Ovis aries: one gene and its partners. The protein of the gene in region 2 interacts with the protein of the main gene of each other region in a biochemical or structural test. Links are inferred from orthologs where the notes say so. Each region holds a gene or a part of one and is shown on either strand. Other genes may lie near its edges.

The links.
Region 1: the proteins of PLK1 (region 2) and WEE1 form a complex in vitro, tested with the Homo sapiens proteins (2 studies listed by BioGRID, with this or other methods). The link is inferred for Ovis aries from reciprocal best matches to the Homo sapiens genes PLK1 and WEE1.
Region 3: of the proteins of PLK1 (region 2) and CSN1S1, one has a biochemical effect on the other in vitro, tested with the Homo sapiens proteins (2 studies listed by BioGRID). The link is inferred for Ovis aries from reciprocal best matches to the Homo sapiens genes PLK1 and CSN1S1.
Region 4: the proteins of PLK1 (region 2) and LRRK1 form a complex in vitro, tested with the Homo sapiens proteins (2 studies listed by BioGRID, with this or other methods). The link is inferred for Ovis aries from reciprocal best matches to the Homo sapiens genes PLK1 and LRRK1.
Region 5: of the proteins of PLK1 (region 2) and RACGAP1, one has a biochemical effect on the other in vitro, tested with the Homo sapiens proteins (3 studies listed by BioGRID and IntAct, with this or other methods). The link is inferred for Ovis aries from reciprocal best matches to the Homo sapiens genes PLK1 and RACGAP1.
Region 6: the proteins of PLK1 (region 2) and NEDD4 form a complex in vitro, tested with the Homo sapiens proteins (2 studies listed by BioGRID, with this or other methods). The link is inferred for Ovis aries from reciprocal best matches to the Homo sapiens genes PLK1 and NEDD4.
Region 7: the proteins of PLK1 (region 2) and PIN1 form a complex in vitro, tested with the Homo sapiens proteins (3 studies listed by BioGRID, with this or other methods). The link is inferred for Ovis aries from reciprocal best matches to the Homo sapiens genes PLK1 and PIN1.

What each region holds. Positions count from the first base shown.
Region 1 is NC_056068.1:42,787,270-42,790,266, forward strand, and holds part of WEE1 (wee1-like protein kinase), read right to left. Parts: intron 2,512-2,997; coding exon 2,416-2,511; intron 2,329-2,415; coding exon 2,243-2,328; intron 879-2,242; coding exon 708-878; intron 616-707; coding exon 470-615; intron 1-469. UniProt on the Homo sapiens protein: Acts as a negative regulator of entry into mitosis (G2 to M transition) by protecting the nucleus from cytoplasmically activated cyclin B1-complexed CDK1 before the onset of mitosis by mediating phosphorylation of CDK1 on 'Tyr-15'.
Region 2 is NC_056077.1:21,884,373-21,888,489, reverse strand, and holds part of PLK1 (serine/threonine-protein kinase PLK1), read right to left. Parts: intron 3,876-4,117; coding exon 3,731-3,875; intron 2,779-3,730; coding exon 2,685-2,778; intron 1,434-2,684; coding exon 1,214-1,433; intron 1-1,213. UniProt on the Homo sapiens protein: Serine/threonine-protein kinase that performs several important functions throughout M phase of the cell cycle, including the regulation of centrosome maturation and spindle assembly, the removal of cohesins from chromosome arms, the inactivation of anaphase-promoting complex/cyclosome (APC/C) inhibitors, and the regulation of mitotic exit and cytokinesis.
Region 3 is NC_056059.1:86,188,372-86,192,488, forward strand, and holds the end of CSN1S1 (alpha-S1-casein), read left to right. Parts: intron 1-789; coding exon 790-813; intron 814-1,608; coding exon 1,609-1,763; intron 1,764-2,348; coding exon 2,349-2,349; 3' UTR 2,350-2,392; intron 2,393-3,164; 3' UTR 3,165-3,547; downstream 3,548-4,117. UniProt on the Homo sapiens protein: Important role in the capacity of milk to transport calcium phosphate. Casoxin D acts as opioid antagonist and has vasorelaxing activity mediated by bradykinin B1 receptors.
Region 4 is NC_056071.1:5,010,027-5,014,674, forward strand, and holds the start of LRRK1 (leucine-rich repeat serine/threonine-protein kinase 1), read right to left. Parts: upstream 2,962-4,648; 5' UTR 2,754-2,961; intron 2,414-2,753; exon of another isoform or gene 1,224-2,413; intron 299-1,223; exon of another isoform or gene 132-298; intron 1-131.
Region 5 is NC_056056.1:136,300,159-136,304,275, reverse strand, and holds part of RACGAP1 (rac GTPase-activating protein 1), read right to left. Parts: intron 3,853-4,117; coding exon 3,735-3,852; intron 3,052-3,734; coding exon 2,921-3,051; intron 2,295-2,920; coding exon 2,130-2,294; intron 407-2,129; coding exon 311-406; intron 224-310; coding exon 25-223; intron 1-24.
Region 6 is NC_056060.1:52,695,847-52,699,440, reverse strand, and holds part of NEDD4 (E3 ubiquitin-protein ligase NEDD4), read right to left. Parts: intron 1,486-3,594; coding exon 1,413-1,485; intron 854-1,412; coding exon 751-853; 3' UTR 1-750. UniProt on the Homo sapiens protein: E3 ubiquitin-protein ligase which accepts ubiquitin from an E2 ubiquitin-conjugating enzyme in the form of a thioester and then directly transfers the ubiquitin to targeted substrates. Specifically ubiquitinates 'Lys-63' in target proteins.
Region 7 is NC_056058.1:12,284,405-12,289,163, forward strand, and holds the start of PIN1 (peptidyl-prolyl cis-trans isomerase NIMA-interacting 1), read left to right. Parts: upstream 1-1,479; 5' UTR 1,480-1,504; coding exon 1,505-1,562; intron 1,563-3,853; coding exon 3,854-4,066; intron 4,067-4,759. UniProt on the Homo sapiens protein: Peptidyl-prolyl cis/trans isomerase (PPIase) that binds to and isomerizes specific phosphorylated Ser/Thr-Pro (pSer/Thr-Pro) motifs.

The DNA of each region.
Region 1 (2,997 bases), on a different chromosome or scaffold from region 2:
TAAAAATGGTAGGAATAAAGCAAATGAATTAGATAAACACTCCAACCAGTTTTCCAAAAATGTCAAAGGTCATTCAGATCAAATGTGAAAATCATCTAACCTAATTGACATTAATTTCATCCTTTCATAAAAGTAAACAGAACATTTCGAGGAGAATGTCATTTATGACAAAAGTTTGGAGAGAAAAAACTGATACCTGTTCAGTTTAGCTTTTGGGACAATTTGGGCATAAAAATTATCACTGCTTTCAAATATATGCAGGTTTAAAAATCTTTTAAGTCCATAATTTCAAAGTTTAGAAACAATGCCAATTTATAGGTCAAATATCAAGACAGAAGTCCCCAAACTTTAACCATATAACATGCCAAGCCACTTTATTCTTCACTGATGTAAAGTATACATCATTTCTAATTAAAATCTGAGAATAAAAATGAGAAAGTAAAAACAAAACAAAAACCCCATCACTTACTTCTGCAAAAGTGAATTTTTGAACTTTTCAGCATTCAATTCTATTCGTAATTGTTCTGCACTCTTCCTCGAAGCAGACAGCAATACTGAATGCTTCACCAGTGCCATTGCTGAAGGTCTTCTCTCTGGATCTGGATGAATCATAACCTTAAAAAGAGAAGTAAAATTAACACAAAGATATGCAATTTAATAAAATATTGAACTATGTCAATACAGTGCTTCACATATAAAATGCTCACTTTTAGCAACTCTGTAAATTCTTGGGAAAGCACTTGTGGAATCCGAGGTAATCTACCCTGTCTAATTTCATGCCATTGGTCTCCATTTCTGGGAAGAGGCTCAGCACCAGCAGCACATACCACCGTGAGGGCAAGGGCAAAAATATCTGCTTTTGGTAGGTGAGTATAGTTCTGTAAAATTAAAGGAAACAAAAAGTTAAGGGAATATAAAGATGGTCAAAATTAAGTAAGATTACACCTCAATGATTATTTGGGTGAGAAATAAGATGAAATTACAATGTCCAGTGATACATTTAAATTTAGGACATATTCAGAGAACAAGCTAAATTTGGGAAGATTATAATTTTTTTTAATGACAAAGTTATGTACACTCTGGGGCTTTCCTGGTAACTCAGTGGTACAGAATCCACCTGACAATGCAGGAGACACAGGTTTAACCCCTGGGCTGGGATGATCCCCCAGAGAAGGAAATGGTAACCCACTGCAATATTCCTGCCTGGGAAATCCCATGGACAGAGGAGCCTGGCGAGCCACAGACCATGGGGTTGCAAAGAGTAGGACACAACTTAGCGACTAAACAACAATACACTTTGGGGTGGGATGGTAAATACATTTCTGAAAGTATTCAGGTTATTTCTAAAAGGCCTCCTCTTTATCACCAGCCTCACTCAACTCTCAGAAGAAACGTTACCTCTAGGGGCATTCATATGAAACTACAAAGATCAACAAGTTAGAAATATCCACATACATATACGACACAAATATACATAAACAGAATAGTGTCATACAATTCCTTTGTTCTAGTTACTCTATTTCCATTCAAAATGCTTATCAAGAAATATTTTATAACAGTTTTTGAAATAGTATCATTAACTATGGGGCTTCCCAGTTGGCTCAGATGGTAAAGAATCTGCCTACAATCCAGGAGACCTGGGTTCGATCACTGGGTCAGGAAGTTGTCCCCTGGAGAAGGAAATGGCAACCCACTCCAGTATTCTCGCCTGGAGAATTCTATGGACAGAGGAGCCTGGCGGGCTACAGTCTATGGGATCGCAAAGAGATGGACACAACGAAGTGACTAACACACACTTTCACATTATTAACTGTATGCCATACTTTATTTAATCATTCCTTTATTGCTAAATATTAACATCATTCTCAACTTATTTGTATATGAATATGTCTTTAAGAGAGACTCCTAGAAATGGAAATTCTGGGTCAAAGGAAATGTGACTTTAAAATGTTGACAGATGTTAACACTTTGATCTCCGAAAAGACACTGTCATTTTAAAGTTTCACCAGTAATGCGTGCAAACTTCTTTTTTATTGCAACCCCAGCACTGTTGAATATGATAAATCTTTGCCTTTATTGACTTTTGCTAGATTAAATACCCCAACAAGCTAATAGTTTACACTTTCTATTCTGTATTACCTTTCTACTGGTTATTAGCTTAAAATTTCAGTACATCTGCATTTATAGTTTTCTAGCAGCTGATAAGTGTTACAAAGCAAATGGCTTAAAGAAGAAAAACTACCTCCTGTAAAACTTCATTTGCAAGAAAACGGCTATCACCCTCTTCAACTTGTGGACTAGAGATCCTTGTTACATGCCCAAGGTCACCTAGAAGTATTGAAAAAAATACAGTTAAGAATTAAAACAAAACAGCCTCTATTTTAAGGAAATAATTTGGTTACTTTTCTTTCTTACCTATTTTAAACATAACTTTGTTGGATGCCCAGTCATCTTCATCTCCTTCTTCAGAGGCAGCATTTGGGATTGAAGTTCGAGATATGAAAATATTACCTGTTAAACAGTTATTTAGGTAAGCCATACTGACAATTAATAGAATCAAAGTTCACAAACAAGTCATATAATGAATCATTCAGAAAGCGCTTAAATATATAGACTATGTGTTCTATCCCAAACCCAGTGAGAATGAAAAGGGACTGTATTTTCTAGAAATATATTTTCTGGTCTAGCACTGGTCCTTTAACACTTGAAAACCACTGCATTAGACTCTTGTCAGCTGCACATTGATCTTCAGCAGTTCTAATTACTTAGAAATAATACAAAGGGCAATTAACATACTAATTGTGATGCTATTGAAGCATAAATTTTAATCCAATGCTACAAGGCTGGTGTGAAAACAAGTCACGCTGGTAGTTTGGCTGACCATACAGCATCTACATCCCAAAGAAGTTTTGTGGTTCACTATTTCTACTGTCCACAAACTTTTTCTTCATCTAATTCAGGCAAGTTTACATAAATATAAGCTTCAGCAGCAAACTT
Region 2 (4,117 bases):
CAAGTGATCACCAATCAAAGGAAATATTCATATAACCAAAGAAAGTATCAAAAATTAAAGCAAAAAGAAAAAGGTAATCCTTAAAACAGCAGTGTCAAAACTGAAATGAACTCATAAAGTTGTGCTATATCCACACAGAGAAATAAAGTATTTCAAGTGGCTTTTCTTGGGGTTTTTCTGTGTGTGTGTGTGTGTGTGTGTGTAATGTAGTCTAAGGACAAAAAGAATTGCATGGAAATAAACATAGTTTCATAACATACTTTATATATGTTGAAAATTCATGTATACCGTGTAAGCAAACAAGGTTTTCATTGTAAGAGAAAAAGAAATACAAGCATAAAATTAAAGATCCTATAATATTAAATTAGACCCTTACAAATTACCAAAAGAGAATTAAAGTAGTAATTTCACAGTGGAGAAAAAGACTGCTGTAAGACCAGTTTGCACCAATTTCAATTTCCTGAACTTGATAACTAGGTCCTGTGTCGTGGTTAGGTAAAAGAATTGTTTTTAGGAAATATACACTGAAGTACTAAGTAGTAAAGGCCAGAATGTGTACAACTTACTATCATGTTGTTTGGGACAAAAACAATACACACACATACACACACATATAATGAGAGATCCCCACCCCAGTTATGTATTTTCTAATTCTGCTCTCTGAAGAGACCTAGAAACAACGACAAACCAAGCAATGAGATGTGGTTTTGTAAGAAAATGTCTATCCTTTTAGAGAGATGCGTACGGAAGTTCTTGGGGGTAAAATGGCAAGATGTCTGGAATTAACTTCAAAAATACTTCAAAGGAACAAACAAGGAGCTATGAAGCAAACACTACAAATCTTAGCAAGTGTTGACTCTGGCGGTGATGTGGGTCCCACGCACATTGTGCTCCATGTGTGTATCTGAAGCTTCTCAACATTTTTTCCAATGAACCATGCAGGGCAATATCAACGATTTAAAAAATATATATTAAGAATTATTCAGGCATGGCATTTAGCCACTCTCTTCTCTCCGGACATGACAGGTCTGACTCAGTCACAGTAAGGTCTGTCTTCCCTGACAGGGCTATGGGGAAAGGCATTTGCCACATAAGGATGGGGACCATGGATTCAAAGACTGGGGCCCATCCTACTGCACACCTGAGCTTTGGGGACCATCCATTCACACACAGAGGCAGGCAAGGCTGTTTGTCTACCCACACTCTGGTTTACCTTTATTGAGGATGGTGAGAGGCTTCCGGTTGCTGGGGTCCAGGCTACTGGGAGCAATTGAAAACCTCGGTGGAATGGTGAGGCAGGTGATGGGGAGGCGGGCAGGGATATAGCCGGAAGTGAAAAACTCGTCATTGAGCAGCTCGTGAATGGTTGGACGGGCACTGGGATCTGGCTGAAGCATCTTCTTGATGAGAGAGGAGGCCACGGGGTTGATGTGCTGGAGGGAAGGTGGGGAGTCATAAGCAGGATATGACACAGGACCAACCCAGCTGCTGCACCACCACCCACTACCCGGCCCCAAATACACCATGTTCAGTGGCTATAAACGTCCCAAGTTTCCACTGGCAGCTTTACTAAGTTGACAAGTTGCTCACCACTAGAACAGCACTTGAAAACAAAGGCTTGGAAGTCATAAAGGCCTGGTGTAAGTCCCAGTTCTGTCCCTCAGCACCAGCTGTGCCAACCAACCCAACTTTCTGGGCCTTTGTATCTTCATCTATAAAGTGGGGACACAGCACCAAGCTTGGAGCCCTGGCAAGGAGACCCAACCCAGGGTAGGTCAAATGCACAGTAAAGCCTAGCATCAACTTTGTACTTACTATCTACCAGCAAAATATTGTAAGCACTTCGTGTAGATGAACTCACTTAACCCTCAGAGAAACACCCAAGGACTGAAGCTCTCTAGTACCATCCCTCTTTAGCAGATGAGGAAATAGGCACAGAGAAGTCAAGTGCCTAAGATACATCCCGAGTGAGTGGTGGAGCCAGCACCCACACCGAGGCAGTCAGGTGCAACCCCCACACTGGGAACCGCTCTACTCGGCCCAATAATTGACCCTCTGTAACGGATTCAGCCCATCCATCCTGATGGAGACAGGGCTCTTGGCTTCACATAAGACAAAGATGCCAAACTGTGGAAGCAGCTGTGTGCCAGACTGCTGCCAACTATCCCTCTCAATGCACTCTTGCTGGGGGCTGCAAAAGCACGCCACTTCGCCTTCACGGTGGTTCGAGATTCTGTGAGCGCTCGCTGTGTGCAAGATGCTCTGGGGCAGGGACTCCACTTTACAGATGGGAAACTGCAGCTCAGAAGACTCAGGCCATTTGTCCATTGTGATCTGGCTAAAAAGTGGCAGAGCCCATCTGAACCAAGACAGTCCACAGCCAGGCTAAGCAGCACTTCTCCGTCTGCCCCTACTCTGGCTCTTTCTCTCTGTTTTTCACGTCTTTTGGGTTATCTCCCCAACGGATGAAAGCCTGCAAACTCTCATCCCAAGAAAAACTGTTTCTGTACACATACATCAGCCTCTGTATGCAATTTCAGACAGGACCCTCTAAAGCTGTTACACTTACCCATGGGGTGGCACTGACCCATCTCTTTCCCCCGGAAATGGCTGGGCTCTGTAAATCACTTGGTGGGGGAGGGAATTAAATAAAACAAATGTAAACTTAAAGTGGTTTTAGTCACCTTGGGAATACTGTATTCATTGTTCTTGATCCGGAGGTAGGTCTCTTTTAGGCAAGAGGTCTCAAAAGGTGGCTTGCCCACTAACAAGGTATACCTGTAAGCACAAGGAGGGATTTGGCTCAAGGCTCCCAACCAAAACCCAGATGCAGGGAGGAATCCTCTCAGGGCCAGAAAGGAAGTCAGACATCTTTTGGGCATTCACTGTGACTCTGGGGCCCCAGAGGACAATTCACAAGTTCACTAAGCAGCCCCAGGAGCCACGACACTGGCAGGGAGGTACCCTCAGTAGAATACAGGTGATGAAACTGGGTTCTAATGGACCAGTGACTTTTTAGCTATAGCCTGCGGTAATCTAGGGGCCAGAGGCTGCCAGCTAACATGGAACAGGTCCAAGCAGGGGTCACTTTCCTTGAGGCAGCCCCACAGTTAATAGTTCTGTACTTTAGGCTGCAAGTTTTCATGTGGGAAATTCCAAGGCAAAGAAGTAGGAAAGCCATTTCTAACTCTCCAGTATCCAGGGAAACAACAAAAGGGGTAACACCTGAACAGGCCCAACTCTCTGCCCACCACCCACCTCTGATGGCCTTGACCCAGACAGACCACAGGACCTCCTCCTGCCAGCACCACTCCTGGCCTAATTCTTCCCACCCAATGCTGCTTTTTAGATCAGTGGTTCTAATACTTTATTGTGCATAGAAATCACTCAAGGGTCTTAATACAGATTGTGATCCAGTTAGTCTGGGTCTTGAGATTCTGCGTAACAAGTTCCTACGTGATGCTGCAGCTGGTCTGCCGTACTTTGAATAGCAAGGGATTAGAGCAAGTTTGTGGAGACATTCCCTCCCTCATTCCCTGAACCCACAGCCCAGGCTGCAGGAATCCTACAGGATATACCAATTCAGCAATGAGGGTTCCTTCAGAGACCATCTGTCCTCTGGAACAGTCTTTCCAAAGGCGGAAAGGTCTGCAGGATAAAGCCTGCCAAGTGAGATGTCCAGAAAGCCCCTTGCTGAGACTGGTGGGTCCTGAGACAACTCCCAACTTACATGATGCACCCAATGGACCATACGTCCACCTCGAAACTGTGCCCTTTCTTGCTCAGCACCTCAGGAGCTATGTAATTAGGAGTCCCGCACAGGGTCTTCTTCCGTTCCCCGTCATACTCCACTTTGGTTGCCAGTCCAAAATCCCCTGGGACAGAGGGAGGAAGAGGGAGGCTCAGATGCCAGCTTCTGTCGTCTGTCAATGCAGACAGCTGGTTCAGCTGGTAACCATCAAGAACCAGGGTCAAGTGATCTCTCAAAGCCTCTAGTCCTTGTGTACAGCAAGGACTAGATTCCTGTTACCCAGGAATCCTCCCACCATGCTGGCCCTAGGGAAGGGCCTCCCAAAGACTCTCATCACCCCTCCCCTTAGAAAGGAGGGGTTTACTT
Region 3 (4,117 bases), on a different chromosome or scaffold from region 2:
TCCAACATTGCTATGAAAGATCAGATCTAAGTTGCCAAAGGAAATGAAAGAACAATTCTATGGCCATCCCTGAATGAAGAGAGCTTCAGGTCAACTTTTAAGTTAGAACAACCTCAACCAACTATTCATATCATTCAAATTTGACTTTTTATTAATCTATAGTACTGTCTGGGCTTCTTGAGTTTTCAGTCTTAGATCTAATCTTATGACCTTGAGCAAACTGTGTTCTTCTCTCTGAGCCCTGCTCTTTCATTTGTGAAATTAATATGAATCTATTGATTTATTTTCTTCTAAAACTCACATATCTTGAGTTTTGCAGTGTTTTTTAGTGTCTTCAGTTTTAAAGGTGGTAACTGCATTCGGTTCAGTTTCTTTGGTCCATTGATGGTTGAACTTACATATAGTATGCTAATTTAAAAAAGAAACCGTGCAAAGAAGACCATGGAGTTTTATAAATATGAATCTGATAAGGGATTAAACAAGATTCAAAACATAGTAGTCATCAATCAATTTTATGATAATCATTCCTTAATGTGAATCATATTTTGCTCTCAATTTCTTCTAAAATTCTCTCTTCACTCATGGGCCAAAGTAAGAGAAAAGAAAAGACAATTACGTACTTCATTGAGGTCTAAAGAGTACACTATCCTCACCTTTCCATGTAATTTTTTAAAAAGAGGGTAATCATTCTAATCTTAATGAGAGCATTTGGTAGTAATACTCTAGTCTCTTATGGCATTTAACTGGGTTTGAATCACAAAACTATTTTTTTCCTCTCTCTCCTTTAAGGAACTGGCCTACTTCTACCCTCAGGTGAATTTATTTGATTTTTTATATTAATACTAATAAGAGAAAATCTCAGATATCATATTTATTATAATCGTTAGGATAGGCAACCACAGCAAAACTTGAAATGCTTTCTTTGGTTTTTCTAATTCCATCAAAGAACATATATTTTCCACCTGAATATATAAAGAATTACATTAATGCACAGAAACAAATAAAAGGCCATGATAGATTAACAGAGGTACCTATTCCAAAATTTCAGAAAAGAAATAATGGTTTTGCACCAAAACCTTATAGTTACGAAGGGGCACTGGGCTAGGAATTAGAGAATTCTTTTCTCTTTATTCTTGGCATTTCTGAAATCCCTGTATTATTCTGGGACTAGGACCTTCCCTTTCTTTGAGCTCATTGCCTTCATGAAAAACTAAACTATAGAACAGAAAGGCAAAAATGACCTTCTCTAATCCAAATGTCCATGAGTTTATAAATTATATAATAATTAAATTCACACTACCACTTTCCTCTGGACTTTGATAGCTGGACCTGTGTTAGTAATGCAGGTTCTTGGAGTTCAATACTGGCTATTGATCTTAAAGAAGTGATTTATTCATTACCCCTCAGGTACCCTAAGAAAAATCCTTTCCAAAATTTCCTTACTGTGATTTACCATAGGGAAGAGTTTGGTTTCTCTGTTTTCCTCACAGAGTAAACATCTCTTGTGATGCGAATAGCCATGTCTGAAATGAATGCAATGATTCATTTTCAGAGATTCAAAACTGATTTCTCATACACTGTTGCTTTTTCAATGGTCTTTCTCTCTAGCTTTTCAGACAATTCTACCAGCTGGACGCCTATCCATCTGGTGCCTGGTATTACCTTCCACTAGGCACACAATACACTGATGCCCCCTCATTCTCTGACATCCCTAATCCCATTGGCTCTGAGAACAGTGGAAAGACTACTATGCCACTGTGGTGGTAAGTTCATTTAAATGACTGCATATTGCTGCCGTATCAAGGGAAATAGAAGAAAACATAATATAAAAATAAATTTAGAATAAGCATGACACTTAAATGCTTAGTGTCCTATGCTAGAATTTTCTGAAATGGAAAATTGATGATAACTTTCTGATATATGGCTAATGTTAATCCATTACTCAGGAACATGTGGAGCAGTGCTATCTATTTGATAAGTGATAATCATTCTGATGAAAATAGGAGGAAAATTTTCTCTCCAAAGTAAAAATTCAACTTTATCCTCCTTGCACTTTTGCTAATCTTTAAATGCCTTTCTTTGGATTATACCCATGATATACATTAGAATGCAATGTGGGGGATAAACTGCAGATTTTGACATTCCTAAAGTCCTAACTTGAAATCCTGATCTTTTTATTTTCGCTTACTTGAAATAATATAATGATGTTTGTTTTTATAACCTTGAAGGTGATTAAATATAATAATCTATTAAGCATACTGCTGGGAAAATTAGTGCTCATTTTTTGATTTAGCAAAATTTTATTACTGACTACCTTACTCACGTTTTACCAATTTTTGTTCCTTCAGAAGAGTCAAGTGAATTATGAGGAACTCCACAATTATGGTCTTTGGTAAGTTGGAAATTGCTTGTCTTGATCCTCTTTTCATATGAATACAAAGGTACAACTTGTAGACTATAAAGTTGTTTTGCTGGTCCTCTAGTCTAGCTATATTTAGACACATTACACTTAGATAATATCAATAATTAAATTGGCTTCAACATTTTTTGTATTATAATAATATCAAATTTAAGTAACAATAAAACTAGCTAATTTTAATTAATATAATTTATTATATTGAAATTTCTACACAAGTATAGGAGTGTAGGTGTTACTAATTCTGGTGACCCCAGCAGAGGAACCTTATTCTTTATGATCACTGGAATAGAAATACTTAAAAAGTCACATAGTTAAATCAAGTATTTGTCTGTTAAGAAGAAAACAGATTTAAATGTCCATAGATGTGTTTTGAGTACTTCAGTTTACTGTATAGGAGCTTGTAGTTGTGTGTGTGTGTGTATGTTCCCTTTCTAGTGGTGGAAACTTCCCTTACAACAGATCAAAAGAAGGAAAGTAAAAGTCTGACATACGTGGAAGTTTTTACTTTGAATTATTTTGCCATATTTTCTGTTACTGCAAAAGAAAGTGCAACCTAGTCATAAATTGCCTGTAAAACTTAAAAATCAGGAGCAGTGGGTATGTGTTAGTAACAGGAGACACATATAACTTTGTGAACTTCATCTTAAGATGAAGAGAAAATGACTATTAAAGTGTATCTTAACAGTAGCTTCTCCTTTCAAAACATGCAGCATAACTAACTACATATTTCTTTTTTGATTTACAGATGGGATTGAAAATTCCATGCTCTACATGTCTTTTCATCTATCATGTCAAACCATTCTATCCAAAGGCTTCAATTGCTGTTTTAGAATAGGACAATCTCAAATTGAAGGCACTCTTTCTTCTTGAGTTCTCTATTGTATTTTAGATTGTGTAACATCCTTAAGTGAAATTGTCCTAAGAGCTTGTTACCTAAATTCCAGTAGTATCATGCTGGTATAAAGGCCACTGAGTCAAAGGGAATTACAGTCTTCATTAAATTTCTATATGGAAAATGTTTTTAAAGCCTTTGAATCACCTCTCCTGTAAGTGCCATCATTTCAAATAACTGTGTGCAGTAACTGAGATTTTGTCTTTCTTCTTTTCAATAAATTACATTTTAAGGCACTATTCCTATTTTTGTCATTATTCCATTGGGAGGAATTTACACAACCTTGTGAGTTTGTATGTATATAACATTTTGTTTTCACTAAATTTTTATGACACTTTCAAAAATTCAAATGTTCACTTCTAGCTGATGCTGGTAGATTATAAACTGAGTCTAAGATCTTTCATTTGAAGTCAACTGTTTATAGAATATTTTCCATGTGAACATGGATGTGGCTGCAGAGAGAACAACAGTGTAGTAGTTGTGGGTGCATTGGGAATTTGAACAACCTGGTTATACTGTTTAATTATGCAGGACTTGTTGGAGCCCAATCCACTTGATTATACTTGAGTTTATAACTAGGTAGATTATAAAATAAACATTGTAAAAGTTAACACGGGACACACAGTAACAGAGCATTCATAGTGAGCTGTTCGGTGTCCTCCAAAACTCTAATGAGGAATTACTTCTCAAAATGACAATAGTTGCTTATTCTGATATCTTTAAAGCCCCAGGTGAAATTTACTTTCCTGGCTTTATTCTAGGATTCCCAACCAACCCAATCTGTCATGACTCTTTAAGAACCTTGT
Region 4 (4,648 bases), on a different chromosome or scaffold from region 2:
TAATTTTCCTTTTTAAACAATAAATCACTCCAGCTATACTCCGGCTCCCAAACAGAGAATGGGGGAGGGGAGAGCTACAATTGTAGGGAAGAGACGCTGGCGAGGGAGAAGGGGCTGGACCTGAACATTACCTTTGAGAGGACGACTCAACAGTCCTTGCCAATAACTGAACTCAAGGGATGAGAACACGGGAGGGAAGACAGCTCCCAGGTTTTTATGTCTCAGGCTTTGATCTGAGTACTAGGGCCGCTCCCTGAGGTGTGGAAGCCTGAGGGAGAGGTTTGGCAGGCCCACAAACCTGTAGGGACAAACTGAGTGTGAGGTTTGTATGTTTTCAACTGAATTTTTTATTCTTTTAGGACATTCACAAGGATAATTAAATCAGACCACAAAAGAAGTTGAATGTTAGCATTTTTCAAAATCGTGCGTATTCTAGTTGCCCCTTTAAGTGAAGTCGATCAGTCGTGTCTGACTCTTTGCGACCCCGCGGGCTGTAGCCTACCATGCTCCCCCGTCCATGGGATTCTCCAGGCAAGAATACTGGAGTGGGTTGCCATCTGCCCCTGTAACGCCCAGGGAATCTGGATACAATGGGAGTGAGTGGCAAACTCTAAAGACAATGCATTTGGTGAAAAGCTCGCTGAAAACGTAACTGCACGCTCCTATTTCCTTACATCTCCGATGCTTATGGGAGAAAAACTCGCCGGCCTCACAAGGTGGACGGGCAGGGTGAGCGGACCGCAGAGATCCCAGAGCCTCGGTCACCACCGTCCCCCCTGGGGTCCCCGGCCTTCCCCGGCCGCGATCACACTCATCCCACGCGGAAGGTCGCCCGCAGAGGCCGCCAGGAGAAGGCGGGTTCCGTCCCGGACTCGGGGTGGGGGAGACGGCGCCCGGGCGCCCGGCGCCGCCAGGCCGTCCCGGGCCGCGCCCCCGCGCCGCCCCGCACTCACACACCCGGCGCACACGCGCGCCCGCTCGAAGGCGGGGGCTTCTCTAAGGGCGGAGGAACCGTGCGGACGCCTCGGCGCCTCTTCCTTTTGTGGCTTTCGCCCGCTCCCCCGGCCCGGGCGCCGGCCTGCGCCCCCCCCGAACCCTCCAGCCCGAGGGCGCGGCGGGAGACGCAGGGCAGTGCGCCGCGGAGGGCGGGGGAGACGCTTCCCGCGCGGGGCCTGGGCGGCGGGGCTGGGACTCCGCGCCGGCTGCGGCGGGGCAGCGCTTACCTGCGGGCGGCGGCGGCGGGCAGGGCAGCGGGCGCCTGGGGCGCGGGCTGCGCGGGGCCGGGCGGACGGCGGCGCTCGGGGCCGGGCCGCCCCTCTGCCCTCCTCCGAGGAGGCTCCGGCCGTGCGCCGGGGGCCGGGCCGGGCCAGACTCACTTCCTCAATCCTGAGCGGGGCGGGCGGCGCGCGGGGCGAGGGGCGGCCTCCGAGAGGCCTCCGCAGAGCGCGCGCGGGAAGCCCCTGCGCTCGCCCGCCGGCTTCCCTCACCGAGACCCCGGAGGCCACGGGGTCCGCAGGCGCCCCCAGCGCCGGTCTCCTCCGGGTCTGGGTCCCCTGCCCTCCGGCAGGGCAGTCTCAGCGGCGAGATTGGTCGGTTTTCGGCGCAGCCCAGCTTTCCCTGCCCCTCTGTTCCGCTCAGCAGCGAAATCCGCTGGTGAACTCCGGACTCGTCTATGGAGGCAGTAAATACTCAAAAGACAGGAATATTCGTTTGTGTACAACTTTTTCTACAGCAGACTAGACGTATGAAATGTAAAACTTTAATAGTTTGCAAACCTCAACCCTTCCACCACATGGATTTACTAAATTACGGATACACACAAAGATATCACTGGTGAATCATTTTAAATTGTCTGGGTCTATTTTGGGGGTGGCGGTGGTAGATAAACCTGCTGGAGTGTAGGCAATTTCTATTTCAACCTAATAAAAAGATGTACCCACAATTAAGGCCATTGTCCAAAGACAGATCATAATGATGTACGTCCATGCGGGCGGGCAGGCTTTAGATTGGGCTCCACGTGCCCGCCAGGGAAAGAGAAGACTTCTTCGGAAAAAGCGGATGGTCCTGCACCCTGGCAGGATCTGCGCACCCCAGGTTCCTCCCGTGTTCGGCTATGACTGGAACATTCCCAGGGTTTATCCCAAGGCTCAGAGACAAATCGCCAGCATCCTCACTGCCGTTTCACAAAAGCCGGCCAGCAGCAGCCAGCTCCCGCCTCCACGACCTCGCAGACACTTTGAGCGGTCACCATGGACGAGTTCCTTGGGTCCCTGTTCGAAGAGGGGACCACGGGGCAGCTGAGGTTTGCGCCCAAGAGGCTGCCCCGTCGGCTCTCCCGGGCCACACGCCCCTCCAAAAGGGAGGGTGCAGTTCTGCAACCCTGCCTTCACCACCGCGGTTCTAATTCCAATATGCAAAAGGCGGCAGTTTGGTCGCTAACGAAAAGTCCCTAATAATTTGCAGGGCGTGGCGTCCACGGTGCCGAGTGAGCCTGGCGATCGCGGCGCGGCGCCCACCCCCACCCCTAGGAGCCCGGTCCTGCCATCTAGCGGGACCGCGAGGAAGTGCGCGCCGGGTGACCGGCGGACCAGGGGGCAGACGCGGCCCACGGAGGTGAGGACAAGCCCTTTTTAAATGAGCTTGCCATCCGCTTAGAAATGTGTCCAAGGTAGAAATAACTTGTCACATGGGTGGCCTGTTTCGAGCTGGCTGTATCCCAGCATTTAACCTTACCCTTGGCATGCGTTACTTACAGGTTTGCGTGAGGCGATTGTTACAGGTCAGTTAAGATTTCTTTATGCTTCTTAACCCCCGCTGACCAACGTCTCATGTTGGAATGCTGGTAAAGAATCCACCTGCAGCGCAGGATTCCTGAGTTCTATCCCTGGATGGGGAAGATCCCCTGGAGAGGGGACCGGCTACCCACTCCAGTGATCTGGCCTGGAGAAAAAGACTGGGACACGACTGAGTCACTTTCGCTTTCGCTTTCTAAGTTTTCTCCTAAGTAGGTAATGGAGGCAGGGAGGGGTTTCCCTGGTGACTCAGACGGTAAAGAATCCGCTTGCAATGCGGGAGACCTGGGTTCCATTGCTGGGTTGGGAAGATCCCCTGGAGAAGGGAGCAGCTACCACCCCAGTATTCTGGCCTGGAGGCAAAGAGTCGGTCAGGACCAAGCGACTTTCACTTTCACGGTGGGGTCCATTGGAAGCTACCTCCCTGAGCTACCCTTTCTGCCTTCTGAAGGTGTAGTAGTTTTTTTCCTTTAATTGAAGGATAATTGCTTTACAACATTCAGTTGGGTTCTGCCACGCATCAGCATGAATCAGCTGTATACACACATCCCCTCCCTCTTGAACCTCCCTCCACCCTCCCACCCATTCCCACCCCTCTAGGTTGTCACAGACCAAAGGGCCTGAGCTCCCTGCCAATTCCCACTGGCTATTCATTTTGCATATGTAAAGTATATGTTTCAATGCTACTCTCCCAATTCTCTCCTTTCCCAGCTGTGTCCACAAGTCTGTTCTCTATGCGTCTCCATTGCTGCCCTACAAACAGCTTCATCAGCACCATACTTTTTGTTGTCCTTCAGTCTCTCAGTCGTGTCTGATTCTTTGTGAGCCCATGGACTGCAGCACGGCAAGCTTTCCTGCCCTTCACCATCTTCCAGAGTCTGCTCAAACTCATGCCCATCGAGTTGGTGATGCCATCCAACCATCTCATCCTCTTTGTCCCCTTCTCCTCCTGCCTTCAACCTTTCCCAGCATCCTTCCCACCATCCTTCTAGATTTCATATATACGCATTAATATATGATATTTGTTTTTCTCTTTCTGACTTACTTTACTCTGTATAATAGGCCCTCAGTTTCTAGTCACCTTCCTTCAGCTGGGTATTCAGTTTCCACTGATATTTCTCCTGGGACACTTAAAAAATGTCCCTTATTATCAAGACATGATAGGAGCAAGAACGTCAAAAGGGCTCAGCCTGCCATTGGGAGAAGCTTGGGTGTTTCAAAGGGTCCACTTTTAGAGAATGTCCCAACTTACTGTCCCCACCCCAAAAGGCACTGCACACACACATGCACACACACACACCATAGCCACAGTGTATGTCCTCAAAATGGTTCCTCTTGTGGTAATGACAAACAAAGGAATTGCTGTTTTCCTTGAATGTGTTGCTCACATTTTGGTTGGGAAATGGAAGGTTTCTAAATGCATTCAAACATACACAAGTGCATAAATTAAGATGGATCTTATCCAAGGCATGGTTGAACACGGTGGACCTAACCAAGTACAGAAATATTCTTCATCTAACCTCAGTGTCAGTGTACAACTCAGTGATTGAGGCTTACTGGTCTGAAGCCTTAGAAACTCTGGGTAATTTAGACACAAACACAGAGATCCTCATGGAGAAAAGGGACAGACATGAACACTTATGCGCACAGTTGCAGGACGCAGTGTTTCCCTGAGTCCCCAAGCAACCTTCCCACATTCTGCACACTCACATCCTCATCACTTGGTGATAAAGAGGGACTTGGTAAGCTCAATGACAGCTTTAACTTCACCAACTAAGATGCAGAGCCTTTGAGGCCAAGCTTGCTGCCTCATCCACCCCCAAAACCGTCAAAGTGAGTTTCACACTCAAGCTAAG
Region 5 (4,117 bases), on a different chromosome or scaffold from region 2:
TTTAAGCATTAAGATCTGCCCCACCTGCTGCATCCATAAAGGCCTTGTTTAGCCGAAAGGTCAGAAGGGGTTCTTTGAGGTTTCGAAGGAAGTCTTTCAGGAGGCTACAGATAGCATGGATGTCATCCACTTTGCTGAGGAGGGGTACAGTTTTCACTCTGAGGAATTTCTCTTTTAGCTCTTTTACTGTCCGGTCACAGCCTGAGATCCGATACAGGCCTGTCTGTTATCAAGATGACATTTTCAGTTAAAAACCTCTTAATTACTGATGCAAATAACAAACTCACCCTCTCCAAGGATGGACTCTTACCTCAGTCAGTCCTCTTTGCTCAATCTCATTTACACAGTGGACAACAATTGACGGTATCATTGGAGAAGTCTGGGACACATAATCTGCCAGCATTCCCTGAAAAAGGTGAGTTTAAAGTTATTATTTATACCACTTAGACTAGCAGATGAAGGCCAATGGGAAGAGCCATCCCCAGACTAATACTGAGGCTGGGACACCATGCCTACTTTAAAATTCCTCTTCCCAAAGCATAAATAAGACTAGAGCCGCTCAATTATTCTTCCTACCTCTACACCAGGACTGATTTATGGTCACATGTACCACACTCTCACATGAACAAGTAATAAGATCACTGGCTACAACTCCACCCCTGCTCCTCTTACAGTCAAGGGCATCAGAAAGAAAGCAATAATGAGATTACAGGTGTGGAGTGTAATATAAACTAAGTTATTACTCTAAAAAATCTGTTCTATCCTGTAATTACTCTTAGTAAGAAAAATTATTTAATACAACTCAGTTGACTATGACACACACTGATCTGTAGGAGAGAACTCCGTGGCTCTATAGTACAGAAAATCTGTAAAAAAAACTACATGCATGGATAAAAATTCTTAAGATTAAAGGACTTCCCTAGTAGTACAGTGGATAAGAATCCACCTCCAGTGCAGGGGACATGGGTTTGATCCCTGGTCTGGGAAGATTCCACATGCCACAGAGCAACAAGGCCCACGCGCCACAACTGCTGAGACTTACGGGCCTAAAGTCTGTGCTCCACGAAGAAAGAAGCCCGTGTACCACAACAAAGAGTAGGCCCACTCACTGTCAACTAGAGAAAGCCCTCGAGTAGCAACAAAAACCCAGAACAACCAGAAAAAAAATAAAGATTAAATGGGAATCATGCACTAAAAGAAAAAAAAAAGATTAAAGAAAAGTAATATTTGATTTGCTGGAGGCTGAGTAGCAGCTCAATCATTTTGTTTTGATTCTTGCTAATGTTGCTTCTAACAATAATTTCTTAATGAATTGAATCAAATTTTAGAAATGAATCTAATCTTAACAGCCTAGTATGGAATATCTCCAACATAAGATAAAGAATATTCAAAGATGAAATTATATCATGGCTGGGATTTGCTTCAAAATAATTCACTGAACAGGGTCAGGAGAAGATGGAGGTATTAACAAATCAAGACTGGACATGAGTCAGGGATCATGAAAGCTGAATGATAAGATATGAATGATAAGAATGATAGGGGTTAGTTACACTCATCTCTCTACTTTTGTATATGTTTGAAATTTTACAAAAGTAGATGGGATGGGGATGGGAAGGAAGAGAAGAATAGGAAGCGAAAGGAGGGAAGGGAGAAGGAAAAAGCAAGAAAATAAGGAAAGGGAGGGAAAGAGGAAGAGGAAGGGAGGGGAAGAAAAGGAAGAAGAATTTGGTTTAGAAAAGCTACTAATCAGACAGACAAACCCAAACAGGATTCTTCAAGTTAACATTTTATAATTTCTATTCACTATTTGAGGGAGGAAATGTACATGGCGTCAATAATTTTTGAAAAAAATGACCATAAGCTTTTAAAGGGCTTCTCTGGTGGCTCAGAGGTAAAGAATCCACCACGACACAGGGTCTATCACTAGGCTGGGAAGATCCCCTGGAGGATGGTATGGCAACCCACTCCAGTCTTCTTCCCTAGAGAATCCCCACAGACAGAGGAGCCTGGCAGACTACGGTCCATGGGGTCACAAGGGGTTGGACAGACTGAAGCGTCTGAGCACAGAGGCTTTTTAAAAGCTAACAAAGTCATAACACAGTGAGGGCTCCCACAGGTCATATACATACTTCTCCAATCTTGACAGGTGTCCCTGTCAGGGTAGGAATACAGGGAAGCGGACAGCGGTCCCGACATTCTGGATGAGAGACCACACGACAGTCTCGACACTTCAGAGACAGCTTGCCAAATTTTATTCGCTTTCCACATGGTACACAAGATTCGGGTTTAATAACCTGAGGATGAAACAGGGAATGGTATGAATTAGAACATTTATCATCAATCAACATTTATTAAGCACTTAGCATGTGCCCAATAGCTTTCTCATCCCTTTACACATATTTTTTACTTGTGTAATTCTCACAATAATCCTATAGGGTTTTTTTTTTTTTTTTAAGATAAGGAAACAAGCAAAAAGAGGCTAAGTAATTTGCAAAGGGATCACCATACACTAGTGGAAAGAAACTGCTGGCAAGGAGTCAGAAAACCTCTATGTTAAACTCTGCTACTTACTGTCCTGTGGCTCAAACAAGTCAGTTAAGGCCTCTGTGCCCCTGTCAGTTTGCTTGGATTTTTACCAGAAATCAAATGGGACAAAGTTAAGGCGTGCCATATTCAAGCATGAACTGTAAATACATATCATGATAAAGCAAACACTGCTTCTGAAAAGTTGCTTTCTTTTACTATCACTCACAGAATGGAAAGATACACACCCTCTCTAACCCTGGAGAGGGGGATGAGGAGGAAGGAAATTTGACATTTAACTTTACAACACTAAATATTTAAATTTGTGATTAGCAAATATTACGCCCACCGTTAAAAAATTAGATGTGTCCCAAAGCAGCAGCAGCCCCAGCTTTACCGTCTTAGAGACGAAGTCGTGCAGGCGCATCCCCCCATTGCTCTGCGGAGTGCTGGAGCCGTCTGTTTCGGTTTTTGGCTCTGGCTGCCTGCTGCTCAATGTGGAGTCACTGTTCCAAGGCTGTAAAGTACCTAGAAAACAGACAACTCCAAGCTTTGTGTCTTAGATGTTTCGTTCCTTCTGAATTTTTTTTGCCGCACCCTGTGGTTCATGAGACTTAGCTCCTCAACCAGGGACTGATCCCAGGGTCCTTGGCAGTCAGAGTGCGAAGTCCTAACCACTGGACCGCCAGGTAATTCTCCCGTCTGAATTTTAACCCCAATTCTAATATAACCAGTAGGGACTTCCCTGGCAGTCCAGTGATTAAGAATCTCCCTTCCAGTGCCAGGGGACATGGAAAAGAAATATGTCTTCCATGTTGGGAAACATCCCACATGCTACAGGGGAACTAAATAGCCTGTGAGCCACAACCAAAGAAACGTGCACGCCACAACAAAGATCCTGAGTGCCGCAGCAAAGATCCGACACAGCCAAATACACAATATAACTAGTAGATAACCAGGAGTCTATAACACCCAGAAGTGAACTATGCAACACAGTTTCCAGAGAGACAAGCTACACACCAGCGGTGTAGGTCAGGCTAGCAAGCCAAAGCAGGGCATGACAAAACAGGGCTCTGTCCCCCAGTAAGAAGCAGTACAGTGAACGACCTGAAACATCCAGCCCCTGACTCATGAGGGTTCTAAGAAACCAGTTCTCCCCGGATTTCACCAGTTGTTTTTACATAGGCAATTCAGCCACAAACCCAGCGGACCTGTTTTCCTTCGGCTCCGGGTCCAATATGGCACGGTCTCAATAGTGGACACAGCCTCGATGGGCCCGCCATCATTGGGAACAGTCACTGTAGTTTTAGCAACTATGGATTCATTTCCCTGAAACAAAGGCAGTAATGAGGGAAGGATAAATCTAATTTCCCTTCTACTATGGGTGGTTTGGTGTAGTTAAAAAATTCCTGAGTCTTAGTAAGGACTTAAGCCCCTAGCCCCAAATACTCTTGAAGTTGAAATCTAATACTTTCAAATGAAAATACAGGTCACAGGGGTATACAAGCAACTGAGAACAAGCATGAAGCTGATGTTGTTTACTATTCTATTCAGATGGATAAGGATCCCAGTACAGAGAAGAATTTTCACCAAA
Region 6 (3,594 bases), on a different chromosome or scaffold from region 2:
AAATGAAAACAGTAAAGAGTAATGGCTCTATCAATGAGCCATAGGATATACAGGCAAGAGGGAGGCACTGATACCTTTCAACCTTCGCAAATCTGAATTTGCTTCACATGTCCTATGAACTACCTTGTTTAGTAAAACCGCATACTAACAAAAGCCAAATACTTTTAAAATGAAGAAGCAGACAGCTTTTTGTAAGTGAATCAGTTGACTGAAAATATAGGTAACACACTTTGCAAGATTCTTCTAAAAACCTGCTACTGCCCATGTGGTAGGCAGGTCTAAAAAATACTAGCTGCAGGCAGCATTGAGTATATTGTCGTGTACTCAGTATTGAAGTTTTTTACCCCAAATTTCAGTTCTCCTTCTCAAAAAAATCACACTTTTCACACATGTCACTTATCACAGGTATTCACAGTTATCATTTCAGTAGTTTAAGAAAGAACTGCCTGGCAAATACTGTAAAAGAGGTAAATCCAAGGATAAATCTCACGTTTTCAGGCACACAGGACTTAAATCCTTGGGTGTGAACTCAAAATAGAATGAAACAACTATGTAAATGCAACACATTACTAAAATGAATGAAATAATGGAAGAGTTGTCATACTAGCTCTTCTAATTCGTTGACACGATTTTCTCCAATATCTGAGAAGCATCAATGGCCAAGGATTAGTAGTTCCCTGGAAAATTTTAAGTCAAGATTTTGCTTTAAAAAAAAGTGGCAGTGAAACACCATAAATGGTTACTTAAAATCTAATCAACGCCATCAAAACCCTGAGTGTTCTCAATGGCCATCTGAAGTTTATCCCATAATTCTTCAAATGATTCATAGGGTGGCAAGTCCAGGCGATTAAAGCTGAAAGAACAGAGAGAGGCTGGTTATGACGGACAGTGACAAAGTGACAAAGCAAGTTCCCAGGGCAAACTAGTCACAGTGCAGCTATTTGTGACAGAATGTTCCAACAGCAGGAAAAGACCTTTTCTCCGCAGGGAGAAGGAAGGCCTAGGATTGGACTCAAGGTGTGGATTCTCTTCATGACTTCTTGGTGGTGACCTCTCACCTCCACCCTGACCTCCAAATGTTTGGGTTCCCGTCATTTGAACCTTCAAGAGGAAATGTTCTAGCCCTTTGTAGAATGGCTTATCATTCATATGAATGGAGGCAACATATCATCAACAGTTCAGATGTGTCTCTCCAGTGTTCAGCTACCCGGACTTAAAGCCCAAGCCTGCCTGGTAAAGAAACACCTGTTCCTGAGTTAGTCTTACTGTCTCTCCATCCTCTCCCTCCCACCCCCCACCTCCTTATCTGCTACCAACACAGCACAGAGGGAACTAGACCTTCTGTATCTAGACTGAGAGAGGACGTTCTCTCTCTGAGGACTTGGTTCTCTAGGGTCAAAGAAACTGCTTACCAGGTATGAGCTCTTGGCAGCTTCTCAGGTGTGCCCCACTGCTCAACTGTAAATGACTGTGGTCCGTTTGAGCCTACAAGGAAGAGAAGTTACTTTGGTTTCATTTAGCCTTTATAGGAGCTCCTGAACATTTCACAGCTCACTTTTGCTAATGCAGAACTTAAAACACACAGATCATTCATCTAGTTTCTTTAAATTCGAAAGAAATAATGCTATCTTGCGCTGATAACTTTACTATCCAGCCACAGAATGAGGACTCCTATCAGTTTGTCTGTGGTCAAGGTATCACTCTGACCTGGGGGGCATGTCTAATGGGACTTTTGCTGTTCCCCAGCCCTGCATTTTCATATACCACCTCTATCATCAGTCAGTTCAGTCGCTCAGTCGTGTCCAACTTTTTACGACCCCATGAATCGAAGCACACCAGGCCTCCCTGTGCATCATCAACTCCCAGAGTTCACTCAGGCTCATGTCCATTGAGTCAGTGATGCCATCCAGCCATCTCATCCTCTGTCGTCCCCTTCTCTCCCGGTACAAAGAAAATGGGCATTTTTTTGAGTCCCACTGAAAACAGCTTTAATTTTTTTCTGATTATTTTTCTCTATTGCTTTTTTTGCAGTAAGATTATACAATGAAAGATGTCAAGATCACCTGAAATTTCACTGTTAAATCTAAGTAAATATCCTATCATTAATCTTTTTCTGCATATGCATAGAATTTTATGTGCATGGGATCATTTATACATGCTACATTTTTCTCTTACTATGAATATTCTTAGAAACTTTTTCTTCCTTTGGAGTTTTATTCAATTATTTCTTTTGCAATTCTCAACGTCCTCCAACCTCCCAGGTCATTAATGCTAACAACCTGATGAGTCACCTTCCTTACTTTTCTCTATGTCTCAGACTCATATCCAAATATGTGTGTGAGAGTATAACTGTCAGAAGCAGTACTAAAAATACTATTTTCCATACTTCTGTTTTCTCAAAAAGCACTGCTGTTCACACATCACCCATCACAATTATATCTACAGTTTAGTACTTTTGTCATTGTATTTTCCACAACATGGAATCATATATTTTCCTGTCTCTTGATTCTCTCACCTGAACACTCCATTTGAAAAACTCCCTATTAAGTCAACCAATATAAATGTAACATAATTCTTCTTTCTTTGGGGGCTAAGCCACACTTCGTATGGGATGCCAGTTCCACAAATAGGGCTCAAACCCGAGTGGAAAGGGTCAAACCCCTGCTGTGGAAGTGTGAACTGCCAGGGAAGTCCCCGTAACATATTTTTTATTGGCTGGATAATACTGTATTGTAATATTAACATTCTGAAGCAACTTCTACTTCTTTTGTAAATCCATAAGAATTTGAATTTATAGTCTAACACTAATAACTCTGGACCTGTGTCTGAGATAGTGTGTTAGTTGCTTAGTCGTATCTGACTCTTTGCGACCCTGTGGACTGTAGCCAGCCAGGTCCCTCTGTCCATGGAATTTCCCAGGCAAGTATACTGGAGTGGATAGCCATTCCCTTCTCTGGAGGATCTTCCTGAACCAGAGGTCAAAGCTGGATCTCCTACATCATAGGCAGATTCTTTGCCATCTGAGCCACCAGGGAAGCCAGTGTGTGAAATATCTCCTCCAAATTCCAAAAAATGCATGCCATCAGTGGGTGACTGTAGGTCTAGGCTGCATATAAGAGGACAGTGGAGCTAGAGATGGAGGGGTGCTTGCCCTGCTTTGATTTTCTCTACTGACTGGATAAAGAGCAGGAAGAGAGAATGGAATGTGAGTCAGGGGAAACCACTGGAAAGACAAATCCAGTCAGGTGGGGAATGAGCATGTTGTTGAGTGGCAACTCTATAGTCTTCTCCTTCTCCTTGGGAGAGAAGAGGCAGCTGCCTGACAGGTTCTGCAAACAGATGTTCAGTTAAGCTTAACAAGGAATCCACATAGGCCAAGGAAGGGATAGAAGGGTTCTGATCTTGGCTATACCTCCTCTGAAGGAGTTGTTTTTCTTGATATCTTTTAAAGCAAGTACATGCCATTCCAATAAACAGAATATTTAACTGTGTTTATTCCATTCTTTCCCCCAAATGTATTCCACTATAATACACTCTGTATTTTGTTGTACACTTATTAACACCCTGTGGAAATTTATATGCTGTCTATCTTAA
Region 7 (4,759 bases), on a different chromosome or scaffold from region 2:
TGATGGCATCAGGTGGAACTTCACTTCAGCATCAGTCCTTCCAGTGAATATTCAGGACTGATTTCCTTTAGGATGGACTGGTTGGATCTCCTTGCAATCCAAGGGACTCTTGAGTCTTCCCCAGAACCACAATTCAAAAGCATCAGTTCTTTGGCGCTCAGCCTTCCTTATTGTCCAACTCTCAACGTCCATACATGACTACTGGAGAAACTGTAGCTTTGACTATACAGACCTTTGTCGGCTTAGTGATGTCTCTGCTTTTTAATACCCTGTCTAGGTTTGTCATAGCTTTCCTTTCAAGGAGCAAGTGTCTTAATTTCATCACTGCACTCACCATCCACAGTGATTTTGGAGCCCTGGAAAATAAAATCTGTCACCGTTTCCACTTTCCCCTTATCTATTTGCCATGAAGTGATGGGGCCAGATGCCATGATCTTAGTTTTTTTAATGTTGCATTTTAAACTAGCTTTTTCACTCTCCTCCTCCTATAGATGAACTTTAGTTGAACTCTTCCCTGTTGGTGTCCCGATTCCCACGTAAATCTACAGCCCTAGGTCTCCAACCACCTCTTCAATGTCCGTTTAGTGCCACAGCCTTCATTTTAAATTGACTTATTCAACTGATATTTCAATAAAAAATAAATTTTAAAAGCAACTTGATTCAAACTGAGCTATTATCCTCCCACCCGCGCTTCCACCCACTGATTTCCACCCACAAAGCCACCGTGTCCTCATCCGAATGGCAATGCCAACACCCACGAGTCACCCAGGACAGAGGCAGAAGCCAAACTGGGAGGGAATTAGTAAAGTAAAGTAGATTTCAAAGGAAATGGAAGGTGTTTGGGTCAGTAAAATAGGGAGTTTTGCACAAAAAATTAAAAGGAGGTGGGCTAGCTTTGGACATCTTGGGCAAACAAGTGGGACGAGGGAGAACGGAGGAGCCAAATATAGGCTTCTGGATTCTTAGCTGTTCATCACCAAGGTAACTGCGTTGCTATGGCAACAGCAAAGGCAGCACCGCCTTTTTCAAGAACTTCCTTCGCTGCGGTTACCTCCACACAGGCCAGACACTTCCGCCTGGGAGGCTTCAGCCCGCGGGCTATGGTTTAGGAAGGCGGGAATTGCTACAGTAGTAGCCAATCGGATGGGCTCTGTGGCGAAGGACGCAAAGGAGGGGTCGGAACTTTTGGAAGCTCAGCAGAGGGCGTTGATAAGGCGAGTTCGCGTCCCTTTCCCACCATTTAGCGGCCGAGGAAAGGAAGAGGGCGGGACCTGGGTGAGGCCGACCGGGGCGGGGCCCAGATTAATGGTGGGAGGCTCCGCCCACCCCCGCCTTTGCTCAATAGGAAGCCAGAGAGTCAGTCCGGACAGTTAGGGTGCCCAATGAGTGCTGTCGCCAAGACCCCGTGCGGGGCGGGCTCAGCCAATCGGCAGCAGCGATGGGCGGACGCGGGCGGCAGAGGCGGTGCGGCGGAGGCGGAGCGGCCTCTGCGGCAGGAGGGAAGATGGCGGACGAGGAGAAGCTGCCGCCCGGCTGGGAGAAGCGTATGAGCCGCAGCTCAGGTGCCGCGGGGGTCGGGGCTGGGACGGGGCCGCGAGGGCCCGCAGAAGCAGGGCTCGAGCTTGTCCCTCGAGCGCGGCAGCGCCGCTCGGTTCCCGTGGGGTCCTGGCTCCTCCGCGTCGTCCCCGGGTAACGGCCCCGGCCCACCCTGTTGGGGCTGCGAGCCTGAGGAGAGGGGAATCCCGAGGAAACTGAGGCAAGGGGCGTGGCCGGGGAGTTCCAGGGTGCTCCCGGGGTGGCAGGGGGATGGTGATCCCGCGGCACTCCCTCAGGCGATGGCCCTGGCCCTGCCGATCTGACTGACATTTTCGTTCGGCCTAATGCACCAGAAGTCCTGAGGGAACGTCTGTGCAACCCGCTGGTCCCAGGGTGGGGACCCCTTGGGGAGGACACCCCAACATCATGCTCAGGGCGGGGCCCTATAGGGTGTTGTTCGGCCTCGGATATACAACCTCCTTCTGCTAATACGCTCGCTACCATCCACACCATATTCTGAGTTTGCGATATCCGGCCGGTGGTATTCTGCCTGAGAACTGCCCTTGTGCTCCGGAACCCGACTTAAGACTTTTCCCCAATAATAATGTCAAGAATAGGGAACGTTTATCTCAGGACCAAGCATAGTTCCAAGCATTTTGGGTGTTTGCTTTCTCTAAATGGTCATAATTTTGGGAGAGAGGTAATTGTTACCCCCGTTTTGCAGATCGGGAAACTTGAGGCCAGAAAACGCAAGGAACCCGCCCAAGGTCATTGATTTCAGGGGGTGGGGGTTGGGTTCGGACCCAGTCATTCTGACTCCAGAGCCCCCTACCCTTCTTGCTGCAAACTACCAAGATGCAGGTTCCAGTATTTCACACTTCTTTCTCCATAGAGCCTAGCAGTCATTGTCGCAGTAATAATTTGATTTTTTGAACATCAGGAGCACTTTGCATACAGCACCATCCACTCTCCACATTAACCCTCTGGAGGTTTGATGTCCTTATTCTCTCATCCCCACTTTTCAAATGAGAAAACTGAGGTTCAGGGAGATGGAACCCATTGCCAGTGTTTTTGAGGCAGTCAGTGGCTCAGCTCTCACCAACCCCCACCCCACCCTGCAGCCTTGACCCATGGATGTGACCTACAATGTAAAGCCAATGCTCTGCCAAATTTGGGGCTCCCACTCCAGCCATTTCAACCCAGTTCAATCCTGACAGTGTTCCCTGAGGGTGACATCCAGCCCTTCACGGTGTTTGGACAAGTCCTCCGTGTAACCCCGGGCAGACTCTGCTCCAGGAATGACACCCTATCTCTACTGGGTCCTACTTCAAGCTTCTTGTTGGCAGCCCTCACTCCATGCTCTTTAGTCTGGATAACATCTGACCCCAGTAATGCTGGACCCCAGTTCTGTAACTGGGTAGGGGAAAAGGACAAAGCTTTTGTGTGTGACACACATGGGTACAGTTTATGCAGCAGAATAAACACCCATTGCTTTGTTTTGGAGGCACTAGTAGCTGACCAGATGCCTCACAGTAACATGTGCATGCTCAAGTCGTGTCCTACTCTTTGTGACCCCATGGACTATCCCACCAGGCTCCTCTGTCCATGGGATTTCCCAGGCAAGAATACTGGAGTGAGTTGCCATTTCCTCTTCCAGAGTATCATCAAACCCAAGATTTTTTTGCTTCCTGCATTAGCAGGCAGATTCTTTACCTCTGTGCCACCTGGGAAGCCCACGGTTTGACCAGAGATGTATTAGTATGTTTTTTGTTACCCAAATGTTACTGACTGGAGTGTCTCAACATTCATTTATAATCGCCAGCCACAGGCGTTAGTTTTTGCAAAAATCCCCCAGTCGATAATGTGTTAATATATGTCAAGTGCTGTCCTAAACTCGTTACAGATGTGAACTCATACAGTCCTTCCAAAAACCATTCAGGCAAGTACTGTTGTTATTTCCATTTTACAAGTGAGAAAACTGAGGCCCGGAGAAGGGAGTCATACAGGGAGTGAGTGGCAGATTTGAACAGGGAGTCTGGCTGCTGAGTGCATGCTTTGAACCTCTCTTCCTCATCTTGGATTATTTTCCCCCCTTGAAGTTGTTAATGACCAAAGTTATTATGTGGTCGTACTTGCTTGTTTATTGTCTGTCTGCCTCCCACCTAGAGGGTTAGCTCCCTAAGTCCTGGTGACACTGGTGGACAGCAGTGGGCTGGCTGAATGAAGGCATCTTGTTGGCCAGTTCCATATCATGGCTTGATGGTGGTATGCACTGAGCAGGTCCCAGCTGAATTCTGTACCCCACCCCCCCTTCTAGGCCGGGTGTACTACTTCAATCACATCACTAATGCCAGCCAGTGGGAGCGGCCAAGTGGCAACAGCAGTGGCAGCGGCAAAAATGGACAAGGGGAGCCCACCAGGGTCCGCTGCTCACACCTGCTGGTCAAGCACAGCCAGTCACGGCGACCCTCGTCCTGGCGGCAGGAGAAGATCACCCGAACCAAGGAGGAGGCCCTGGAGCTGATCAATGGTGAGCTGGGGTTGGAGACCAGGCCTGGGGGAAGGGGGCAGTCCCTCTCCCCAAGGGCAGTGCAAGCTTTACAGAAATCACATGAGATGCTCCACCCCAGCCAGCTTAGCTGTCAGCTGTGGCCTTGGCCGACCTATAAGTGCCTGTTGGTGGCATGAGCCTGGCTTCCATGGCTGCCTCTCATTTTCCTCCCCAGCTGGTGTGTGAGAGTGGGCCAAGGTTGGTGGAGAGGACCCAGCCTTATGGCAGCCAGACCTGGGTTCACATGGTCACTATGCCCCTAGGAGCTCCTTGACCCTGAGAGATTCACGTCACTTCCTTGAGACTCGGTTTTCACCTCTGTCAAATGGACGTCGTCATCTCCTTGCCTTCATGGGCCATTGTGAAAGCTCAGTGAGATGAAATGGTGTAATGGGTGGCACACAGTTGTCACTGTGTGGGTCGTCATTCAGTGGGAGCTATCCTGGAGAGTAGTGTCATCAAGCAGGGTCCTGGGGCACGTATGTGGATGGGTCAGGAGGGAGGTTGGAAAGGTAGCAGTGTTAGAACTAGACAACAGAGTCAGTGAATTAATTTGGCTCTGAGCAGGCTGTTCGTCGCTAAGTTCTGTGTTTGCTCCGCAGTCTAGAGCAGCAGTTGGTAGGCAGACTTTTTCTTGAAAGGCCAGATGGTAAATAGTTTAGGTTTTGTGGG